3 linked regions of the Stegostoma tigrinum genome follow. The protein of the gene in region 1 interacts with the protein of each later gene in a pairwise test. Links are inferred from orthologs where the notes say so. Each region holds a gene or a part of one and is shown on either strand. Other genes may lie near its edges.

Region 1 (3,855 bases):
GCCAGTGAGCAATGGGCGAGTTGAATTTAGTACATGCCAGGAATCAGGTTGTAGGGTTTGGATGAGTGCAGATTTCTGCAGGATGGAACTGGTGAGTTTCACTGGGAGTTTTATGTACCACAAACATGAATGAGGGCTTCAGCTCACAAAAACTTAAATGAAAGCCAGAAAAGGTCAAATTGCAGAGGTGGAAAACTACATACTAGATAGAGGAGTTGACCTAGACTCAGGTTGTGGCTCAAGACCGAAAACGAGAGAGAGAGAGGGATAAACCAATCAATTGAGTTGACAGGGTGACAAAACCTGCTCAAGATGAATGTAACTTTTTATTAAGACAAGAGGTGACACGTCAAACAAGCTATGAGAGGTTTTGTGACATGAAGACATTGTGAATGATGTGATACAATGACAGCATTTTCAATTCTTCTAAGTCAGAAAGAAAACAGCCATTATCGCCGCATTACTGGCCCCTGCACAAAGCATGGTCCCAAATACAATTCCGAAACTCTGGCCACCACCACCCCACGCCCTCCACACCCCAAGTACTAACAAACCCCTCCCCTGGAATACCCCCAACCCCTTCCCCCACCACTCCCCACCCCAAATACCCCCAACCCCCTCCCCCACCACTCCTCACCCCAAATACCCCCAACCCCCTCCCCCACCACTCCCCACCCCAAATACCCCCAACCCCCTCCCCCACCACTCCCCACCCCAAATACCCCCAACCCCCTCCCCCACCACTCCCCACCCCAAATACCCCCAACCCCCTCCCCCACCACTCCCCACCCCCCCTCCCACACCACTCCCCACCCCCCTCCCCCACCACTCCCCACCCCCCTCCCCCCACCACTCCCCACCCCAAATACCCCCAACCCCCTCCCCCACCACTCCCCACCCCAAATACCCCCAACCCCCTCCCCAACCCCCTCCCCACCCCAAATACCCCCAACCCCCTCCCTACCCCAAATACCCCCAACCCCCTCCCCCACCACTCCCTACCCCAAATACCCCCAACCCCCACCACTCCCCACCCTAAATACCCCCAACCCCCTCCCCACCCCCCTCCCCCACCACTCCCCACCCCAAATACCCCCAACCCCCTCCCCACCCCCCTCCCCCACCACTCCCCACCCCAAATACCCCCAACCCCCTCCCCACCCCCCTCCCCCACCACTCCCCACCCCAAATACCCCCAACCCCCCTCCCCCACCACTCCCCACCCCCCTCCCCCACCACTCCCCACCCCCCTCCCCCACCACTCCCCACCCCCCTCCCCCACCACTCCCCACCCCAAATACCCCCACCCCCCCTCCCCCACCACTCCCCACCCCAAATACCCCTCCCCCACCACTCCCCACCCCAAATACTCCCATCCCCCTCCCAAATACCCCCAACCCCCTCCCCCACCCCAAATACCCCCAACCCCCTCCCCCACCACTCCCCACCCCAAATACCCCCAACCCCCTCACCCCAAATACCCCCAACCCCCTCCCCCACCACTCCTCACCCCAAATACCCCCAACCCTCTCCCCCACCACTCCTCACCCCAAATACCCCCAACCCTCTCCCCCACCACTCCTCACCCCAAATACCCCCAACCCTCTCCCCCACCACTCCTCACCCCAAATACCCCCAACCCTCTCCCCCACCACTCCTCACCCCAAATACCCCCAACCCTCTCCCCCACCACTCCTCACCCCAAATACCCCCAACCCTCTCCCCCACCACTCCTCACCCCAAATACCCCCAACCCTCTCCCACACCACTCCTCACCCCAAATACCCCCAACTCCCTCCCCCACCACTCCCCACCCCAAATACCCCCAACCCCCTCCCCCACCACTCCCCACCCCAAATACCCCCATCCCCCTCCCCCACCCCAAATACCCCCAACCCCCTCCCCAAATACCCCCAACCCCCTCCCCCACCACTCCCCACCCCAAATACCCCCAACCTCCTCACCCCAAATACCCCCAACCCCCTCCCCCACCACTCCTCACCCCAAATACCCCCAACCCTCTCCCCCACCACTCCTCACCCCAAATACCCCCAACCCTCTCCCCCACCACTCCTCACCCCAAATACCCCCAACCCTCTCCCCCACCACTCCTCACCCCAAATACCCCCAACCCTCTCCCCCACCACTCCTCACCCCAAATACCCCCAACCCTCTCCCCCACCACTCCTCACCCCAAATACCCCCAACTCCCTCCCCCACCACTCCTCACCCCAAATACCCCCAACTCCCTCCCCCACCACTCCTCACCCCAAATACCCCCAACTCCCTCCCCCACCACTCCTCACCCCAAATACCCCCAACACTCCCCATCCCAAATACCCCCAACACACCCCACCCCTCCTCAGCCCCCGGTCACCATACCCAGCCCAGCCCATCTCTCCCGCGCTACTGGGTGTACGTGTGTTGGAGAAGTCTGGCCGCGCCACCCCCCACCCCGCCCCCATAACGGGGTATAGTTATGTTGTTTCCCCCACCCCATCGCGGGGACAGTGGTGCTGTGGAGTTCCCTCACCAGGAGGTTGGTGCTTTTATTGTCTCCGTCCCCACTCGCCATCGCCACTCGATCCTTCTCGACGCCCGTTTATTGCGCATGCGCGGTTGCTCCCACCCTAATGGTGCATCTCCACACGTGATACTGCAGGCGGCATTGCTGATTGGACCAATTCCGGCCGTACCCACACGCCTGATTGGCCGGCCGTGGCACTGCTCACGGTGATCGAATGTCCCCTGGACAGGAAACGCCCACCGCCGACCGAACCCCGCCTACAGGACAAGGAGCCACGCCCCTTGCCCGCCCACCGCTGAGGAGACCCCGCCCCCTTCCCCTAGCCCAAACTAGTCCCTGCACCTAAATTCCTGAAGAGGCTACAATAATTTCCCACTCCTAAGGCTAGGTAGAGGCGGCCTGATTTTATATGAATAGGAGTCAAGGCAACTGGGGTTTAGTTTTCCAAAACATCTGAATAGTTGGAAGGCTTCTACCAATCTATACCTTATCTCTCTCTGCTTCCTATAAAAGGTTAAGATACAAACCATCAGGTATGAGTCAACCCACATGAAGTGCAGTGGGTACAGGACAGTCTCTGCAAGAAATCCAGCCACAGATATTCTCTTAGCAACAGTGATGGCGACCGTGTTCATGTACACAGGTAGTCACCATTATAGGTCAACAGGCCCACAGCACGTGCAGCGCTGTTGTTTGCATGATTTTCTTTCCTTCCCTCTAGAAGCAGAGTGAACTAACACTACAATTTGAGCATTGAAGATCATGAAACTTTAGAATAGTAAGAGGGCACGGTTCTTACAAAAAAAAATTACACACAAGGATTCCCATATCCAATGCTGCTCAAGCTAAGGCTGCTCATTTAGACCTGTTCTGTAAACTCCACAAGAATCACTTAGAAGTTTTCTAATCCGTCCTTCGTAGAGAATGGTTACAAAATGAACCTCGTGACTGTACAAAAACAGCATCTCATATTCCACTCGGGGACCCTGCAGCCTGAGGGTATTGATGTAGACTTCACAAGCTTCAAAATCTCCCCTCCCCAACCACATCCCAAAACCAGCCCAACTAGTCCTCGCCTTTCTAACCTATCCTTCCTCCCACCTCAATCCCCTCATTCCACCCCCATGACCTGTCCATCCTCCCTGGACAGCCCTATTTCCACCCCCTCCCCCCCCAAACCTACATTCACCTTCACTTGCTCTCACCCTGCCTCTTTGACCTGTCTGTCTCCTCTCACCCGATCTTCTCCTTTATCCATCTTCTATCTACCTCCCCCTATTTTTCAGAATCCCCTTCCCCTCCCCCATTTCTGAAGCAGGGTCTTAACC
Region 2 (3,855 bases), on another chromosome or scaffold:
CTTCTTCAGAACCATGAGTTCCAAAGAAAGTCACTGGTCTCAATTGTAAATTGTTTCTCTTTCATTTGCTGACACTGATGCTGACAGAAACCTGCTGGGTCTCTCCAGAACTTTCTCTTTTTATTTCAAATCTCCAGTAACAGCAATATTTGCTTTTACCTTTAATTATGCCTTTCTTACCTCTGTAACATTTTGATCAGGAGTGCACAGGAATAGTCAATCTCTCACGTTCCACCCCCAAACTTCAGCTCCTCCAAATATAAACAATATCATGTAATTTACACCATTTGTCCATTGCCTTGGACCCCACTGACCTAAACTGGCTCTCTGGTTAAGCAACACGATCTTAAAATTGTCTTCCTTATTTCCAATTTTCTCCATGGCCTTGCTTTTCCAATCTTTGTAATCCTCATCAACCGAACAAACTTCCAAGTGACAATATCAGCTTCTTGAGCATCCCTGATGTTAATCACTCCATCACATGGCATTTATGGGGACACATACCATACGTCATTAAAGCTCTAGGCAATGGACTTCCCCGTGTCAAGATTTCCATATTTCCTCATGCAATTCATTATCCAATTCTAGTCAGTAACATTCTTATGCAATGCCTCAGAGAGTTAGAGTACAATAAATGACAAGACAAACACAAGTTGTTGATGTTGACAACTTTCTGGATTCATCGATTAGTACAACGATGTTTGTGTGTCATTGGAACTGCACAGAAGAGATAACCTCACCGGCCCTTTAAGGGCGTGGTGAATAATATGAAATGGGAATTTAACAAGTACGGCAGTGTCACAGCCTGTGTGTTTTATACGTAGACCAGCACAGCACAGTACAGGCCCTTGGGTCCACAATGTTGTACTGACCTATTATCCTACTCTAAGATCAAGCTACCGTGCATACTCTTCATTTTAATATCATCCATGTGCCTATCCAAGAGTTGCTTAAATGTCCGTAATGTATCTGACTTCACTACTCTCTGTGTAAAGAACCTACTTCTGACATCTCCCCTACACCTTGCTCCAATCACTTTAAAATTATGCCCCCTCATGATAGCCATTTCTGCCCTGGGAAAAAGTCTCTAGCCATCCACTCAATCTATGCCTCTCATCATCTTGTACACCTCTATCAAGTCACATCTCCTCCTTCTTCGCTCCAATGAGAAAAGCTCTAGCTCCCTCAACCTTTCCTCATAAGACCTGCCCTCCAGTCCAGGCAGCATCGTGGTAAATCTCCTCTGCACCCTCTCTAAAGCTTTTACATCCTTCCTATGATGAGGCAACCAGAACTGAACGCAACATTCCAAGTGTGGTCTAACCAGGGTTTTATAGAGCTACAGCATAACCTCGCAGTTCTTAAAGTCAAATCCCCTGCCACTGAAAGCCAAAACACATATGCTTTCTTAACAACCATATCAACTTGGCAAGCAACTTTGAGAGATCCACAGACGTGGACCCCAAGATCCCTTTGTTCCTTCACACTGCCAAGAATCCTGCATTAACCTTGTATTCTGCATTCAAATTTGACCTTCCAAAATAAATCACTTCACACTTTTCTGGGTTGAATTCCATCTGTAACTTCTTTGTCCAGCTCTGCATCCTGTCAATATCCTGCTGCAACCTACAACAGCCCTCCACACTATTCACAATTCCACCAAAACTTGTGTCATAGGCAAACTTACTGAGGAAAGGTTACCAGACCTGAAACATTAACTCTTTTTTTTCTTCACAGATGCTGCCAGACCTGCTGAGCTTTTCCAGCAACTTTTTTTTGTTACTAACCCACCCTTCCACTTCCTCATCCAAGTCATTTATAAAGATCACAAAGAGCAGAGTCCCAGAACAGATCCCTGTGGAAGAGCACTGGTCACTGTGGTCCATGCTGAATATTTTCCATCTACTACCACCCTGTCTTCTATTGGACAGCCAATTCTGTATCCATATAGCTAGATTTTCCTGAATCCTTGCCTCGTTACTTTCTGAATGAGCTCACCATTGGGAACCTTATCAAATGCCTTCCTAAAATCCATATACCATATACCTAAAATCCATATAGGCATGACCTGCCCCTCACAAAGCCATGCTGACTATTTCTAATCAAACTGTGCTTTTCCAAATAATCATAAATACTGTTTCTCAGAGCCCTCTCCAGTAATTTGCCCACCACAGAAGACAGACTGACTGGTCGGCAATTCCCAGGGTTATCCCTATTCCCTTCATTGAACAAGGGAATAACATTTGCCACTCTCCAATCATCTAGGTCTAAATCTGTGCCACTATGATTGATCACTGAGATCGCCAAGTATGAAAAACGATCAAAAAGTTGTCTTTGCTTACACAGGATACCTCACTCTTGGCATGACTCACATCCTCCTCATAATGGTTTTGTCTCAATACTGTGTCCGAAATCACAAAGAAGTGATATTGGACCTTGGCACTTCCAGTCAACTTCTACATTTACTTCGGTGTTTTTTATTTGAGGAAACGGTAAATTCAAAAGGCAGGAACCTGATGAGCCTAACAATATCAACACTTGTCCATTGGAAATCCCGACAGACCGAGTATTTCCAGTATTTCTGTTTTCCTTAGTCGTTTAGTATGCGTCTTGGTACCGTCACTTAAAAATCAATACACAAATTTCAGCTGCCAGCATTCTAGCAAACGGAAAGGAAAAGGCCAAGGGCCACAGACGAAAGGAAAATGAAAATAAGGATGCACTCGGTTTGACAGTGCGGATATTGTTTAAAAAGGGGAAAGAAAGCAGACTTGTCAAAAACTACAACTCTAACTGGTAATAACTAACCTTTCTCCACGAGGTCTCTCATTTGGAAAAGTACATGAATAGGAAAGATTTGGAAGCATGTACGCCAAACGCAGGCAAGTGGGACCAATTTAGTTTAGGAACAGATTTCTTTCTGGTTTGTCGAATAGCGAGAGTAATATTTAGCAATCTCGGTGATCAGTCGGAATGGCACAGATTTAAAACTGACAAGTTATAAAGCTAATATTCACGTTTCAGATTCATTCCCCCTCCCCCAATTGTTGGCGGGGTTATCCTCAGGTGATGGGGGAGATACTAAACGAACATTGCGCGTCAGTTAGATTAAAGAGTCTGTTTCTACGCTGAATGACTCTAAATGACTGTCCAGTTAAAAAGGAACGCATGTTGCAACTTGCGCCCCTGGCGTGAAATCGTTACAAACACATCACATCAACGTTCGGCTGTCAATTTCAGCCAGCCCACTCCCAGCAGCCGTCCTTCACTCACCTGCCCACTGCACCAAGACCCTGAGTTGTCTTGGACCCTTTCCACTGCACCAAGCCACTGACTAAAGCCAGCCCAAGCTCCTTTCGATTTCGTGCCTAGACTGGATCATCCCAGTCACGTGACAATGACCAACTTCTCAGCCCAGCGCTGCTACTACTTCCGCCCTTTACTCAGGCAAAGCCAAATACTTAAAGCGGTACAGCATGGCTGTACAGATTTTAAGTATTTGCTTCTGAAATGCAGATTTCGGTTCTTCAACGTGCCATTGTTTGATGACGCAGTTCGTTGCACAGTTGACAGTCTTTTTCAGAAACAGTAAGAATAAAACTTGTTTTCTTTCTGAGATAGTAGGAACTGTAGGTGCTGGGGAAGAAGGGTCTAGGCTCGAAACGTCAGCTTTCCTGCTCCTCTGCTGCTGCTTGGCCTGCTGTGTTCATCCAGCTCTACACTTTGTTATCTCTTTTCTTTCTGCCGACTTCTCATGAAATATCAAATTTCCCAATTAGTTTAAACGATGACTGTTAGTTACTTAATGTGTATTATGCATTTTCATGCAAAACAACATAAACGAACCACAATCCA
Region 3 (3,855 bases), on another chromosome or scaffold:
AAACAGAACTTTTCACTGTACTTAGGTGCACATGGCAACAATAAATCAAACCAAAAGGTTTGACTCATTAAAACACTTCCCTCTCTGGCTAGTTCCAGCACTTTGCAATTACATTGGGCAGATGGGTGGAGGAATTCAATCGAGGGTTTGAGATGTTCAAAGGGGCTGACAGAGAGAAATTATATTGTCTAGTGGTTGGGGTGGGGCGGGAACAGAATAAAATGGGAGTTGAGGTGAGGGAAAGCCAGGACGAGGTTGCGTCAGGATCAGAACTTTAAAAACGACAGCTAAGCCCTTCTGAGGAGATGTGACATCTTCTCCCTCAAGTCGAATGGGGTGGTTGGGGGGGTGGGCAGGATCTGGGTTTGGACCCAGATTGGCGGATTGCGAGCAACAGGTAGGTTGAGGGATGTGGCTTGGTGACAAGAGACCAGAGCCTGAGGAGCTGAACATGCCTTGCCCCCAACTTCTACAACCCACACCTCCTCCGCCTGTACACAGCCAGACTTGAATCCTCACACCTGCACTTACCTCTTTGACGTCTGCAGTCTTCTTGGAAAAGATCTGTAGTTGGGAGTGGGTGTAGAAAGAACAAACAGTACAGGTCACAGAGGTGTAGTGTAGGAGTAAACACACTTGCTGAGGCATCCCCAAATGCAGATAACCAACCCACTAGCTGTGAGGAATCACAGTCCCCTGCCAAACATCCCACTTCACGCTGCTATTAAAGGTTCCTGTCCGTCAGTCAGCACACCTCTGCATTAGGGACTTCCGATGGACCGAGAGCTCTATCGAGCTCCACCCCCCCCACCACACCCACCCCCCAATACACACTATCCTCAAGGCTCTGGGAACAAAAGCAAAGAGGTGCACTTCTGTATTGCCTGTCACTGTGCCACCACATTCCAAAACAGCACTTCCTTGTCAATGCTGACTTTCATGACAGGATGGATGCCACTGGAATGGAGAAAATGCAGCAGCCGAGTAGCCCACAGCAAGCTCCCCCAAATGGTGTCACAGAAGTCACCAGGCCACGTGTTTTTCAGTGATGTTCATTATGGGATAAGTATCGGACTCTGGACACTGCAGAGAATTCTTCGCAATCCCGTCCGATCCTGCTCTCCTTCAATCACAGCCAAACGATTATTCACATCCTTCCACGAGCTGTTAAACATCTTCGATCATTACACATCACAAGGGCAGTGCTGGCACAGACAGCAACGCTCGGGAACAGCCTATCCGCTCCAGTTGAGCGGCATTCTTCTTCTCCCTCTCTTTTTTGTCTTTTCTTCACCTTCCCAACACCACGAGAAGGCTACAACAGCGTGGGGGGGTGACTCCTGGCTCATAGGGCCCAATGCCCGGACACCTGGAATTGGCAGGGCATCAACAATGGGAGAACGAAGGCGCCTGGCTGCTGTAGGCCTGGAACGCAGACTCCTTCCGCAGCAGCAGGTCATCAACTGAGGCTGCAACTGGTGACGAGCGTAGAGACTCCAGGCCGTGGGAGACCCAGATCAGGGACTGTACAGAAGTCCTGGAGCAGTGTTTCGGACCCTGGCCAATGAAGGTGAACTCGATCTAATTACGTCCTTTTTATTCTTAACAATCGTGCCAGAGTGTGACGACATAAAATGTTTCAGTGTCTCCCGAGATGTATGTGACAAAAAATCAATCATTTATCTCATTTGAGAACTGGCACTTCAACAGCACGGCGTCCCCTCGGCGCTGACCCCACCGACAGCGCGGCGCCCAACCCACCGACAGCACGGCGCTCCCTCGGCGCTGACCGTCCGACAGCGCCCGCTCCCTCGGCGCTGACCCTCCGACAGCGCCCGCTCCCTCGGCGCTGACCCTCCGACAGTGTGGCACTCCCTCAGCACTGACCCTCCGACACTGTCCGCTCTCTCAGCACTGACCCTCCGACACTGTCCGCTCCCTCAGCACTGACCCTCTGAAAGTGCCCTCTCCCTCAGCACTGACCCTCCGACAGTGCCCACTCCCTCAGCACTGACCCTCTGAAAGTGCCCACTCCCTCAGCACTGACCCTCCGACAGTGCCCACTCCCTCAGCACTGACCCTCCGAAAGTGCCCACTCCCTCAGCACTGACCCTCCGACAGTGCCCACTCCCTCAGCACTGACCCTCCGACAGTGCCCACTCCCTCAGCACTGACCCTCCGAAAGTGCCCGCTCCCTCAGCACTGACCCTCTGAAAGTGCCCGCTCCCTCAGCACTGACCCTCCGACAGTGCCCGCTCCCTCAGCACTGACCCTCCGACAGTGCCTGCTCCCTCAGCACTGACCCTCCGACAGTGCCCGCTCCCTCAACACTGACCCTCCGACAGTGCGGCGCTCCCTCAGCACTGACCCTCCGACAGTGCCCACTCCCTCAGCACTGACCTTCCGACAGTGCCCGCTCCCTCAGCACTGACCCTCCGACAGTGCGGCGCTCCCTCAGCACTGACCCTCCGACAGTGCGGCGCTCCCTCAGCACTGACCCTCCGACAGTGCGGCGCTCCCTCAGCACTGACCCTCCGACAGTGCCCACTCCCTCAGCACTGACCCTCCGACAGTGCCCACTCCCTCAGCGCTGAGGGTCAGGCTGAGGAGTCACTTTGGTTAGGAAGGTGAGGGAGGGATGAGGTGTTGAGGTAAGGGGTTGGGGTTGGGTGCAGTGTCAGGGGTCCCAGGTAAGGGGTCATGTAGGCTCTCCTTACTTCCCCGCTGGTAGGTTGCAGTCTCCCCTTACCGTGACGGTGACCCGGTACTCGGTGTAGCCGTGTGGGTGCTGCCGCGGCTCCGTCACTCGGTACCGGACTTCGTCCGCCTTTCCCCTCCTCCATGACATCCTGAGTGCAGACCAGAGCGCAGGCGCTCCACCGGCCCCGCCCATCACCACTGGGGCGCAGCCACAGCACCGGGAGGAACCCTCCGCCGTTAGTGCGCAGGCGCAGAATTGAACACGCCCACTGCCGTGTGGGTGCAGGCGCACAGCAGGCCCCTCCCACAGCTGTCAGGGTCAATGCCAATTGCACTGTTCTATATAACCACCTTAGACTACACTCAGCTCCTTCACTCGCAATAACTTCCCAATAACATGTTTGCCCAGCTTCATCCCCATAAAGACACAAGGTGACCTCCAATTCAGCTGCTCAGCCCACTTCCCACTTTTTCCCACAGAATCAATGTACGGCATTCAGCCCATCGAATCCACACTGACCCTACCAACAGCACGCCTCAGTAACCCAAACCCCAACCCTAACCCCACCATCTTCCATGGTTAACCCACCTAGCCTGCACATCCCTGAACACTATGGGCCAATTTTGCATTGGCCAATCCACCTAGCCTGTACACGGGAAGGATTTGTATGTGGAGTTTGTACAGTCACCCGAGGATGGAATTGCACCCAGGTTCCCAGCCCTGTGAGGCAGCAGTGCTAACCCATAAGCCACCTTCCGTTTTTGTAGCTCCTTCCACATCCAATTGCATTACTTTGGAAGTGATGACAATTGATGGGTACATATTGAGCCCAAGATGCCAGGATCAGCCACTGGCCTTGGTATCTTTCCCACCTGCTTGTGAAGGCCGAATGCAACACGGTCTTTACAACATCAAAGATGGCACCTCTGACACAGCAGCACTTGCTCAGTCTTAGCCACACAAAAGTGGGTGCTGCAAATCAAAACTAAGAAAAAAAAATTGCCAGACCAACCCAAGGGCAGCCAGCAATGTTTGTGGAGGGAAGCAGTCTTAACATCGCAGGTCAATCAATAATCATTACATTGGATAATGCCCAAGAGTCTCCAAGGTTGGGTTTGAATCCACAATCTTACAACTTGGGAGAAAAATAATGG

What was found.
Region 2: the proteins of arl6ip1 (region 1) and snx10b interact in binary tests that used the Homo sapiens proteins (3 or more experiments, as listed by UniProt). The two-hybrid records come from large-scale screens. The link is inferred for Stegostoma tigrinum from reciprocal best matches to the Homo sapiens genes ARL6IP1 and SNX10.
Region 3: the proteins of arl6ip1 (region 1) and snx15 interact in binary tests that used the Homo sapiens proteins (3 or more experiments, as listed by UniProt). The two-hybrid records come from large-scale screens. The link is inferred for Stegostoma tigrinum from reciprocal best matches to the Homo sapiens genes ARL6IP1 and SNX15.

Annotation. Positions count from the first base shown.
Region 1 is NC_081376.1:54,011,236-54,015,090, forward strand, and holds the start of arl6ip1 (ADP-ribosylation factor-like protein 6-interacting protein 1), read right to left. Parts: upstream 2,644-3,855; 5' UTR 2,576-2,643; coding exon 2,534-2,575; intron 1-2,533. UniProt on the Homo sapiens protein: Positively regulates SLC1A1/EAAC1-mediated glutamate transport by increasing its affinity for glutamate in a PKC activity-dependent manner.
Region 2 is NC_081355.1:56,549,368-56,553,222, reverse strand, and holds the start of snx10b (sorting nexin-10B), read right to left. Parts: upstream 2,926-3,855; 5' UTR 2,868-2,925; coding exon 2,809-2,867; intron 543-2,808; exon of another isoform or gene 505-542; intron 1-504. UniProt on the Homo sapiens protein: Probable phosphoinositide-binding protein involved in protein sorting and membrane trafficking in endosomes. Plays a role in cilium biogenesis through regulation of the transport and the localization of proteins to the cilium.
Region 3 is NC_081395.1:12,627,494-12,631,348, forward strand, and holds the start of snx15 (sorting nexin-15), read right to left. Parts: upstream 2,856-3,855; 5' UTR 2,849-2,855; coding exon 2,750-2,848; intron 565-2,749; coding exon 532-564; intron 1-531. UniProt on the Homo sapiens protein: May be involved in several stages of intracellular trafficking. Overexpression of SNX15 disrupts the normal trafficking of proteins from the plasma membrane to recycling endosomes or the TGN.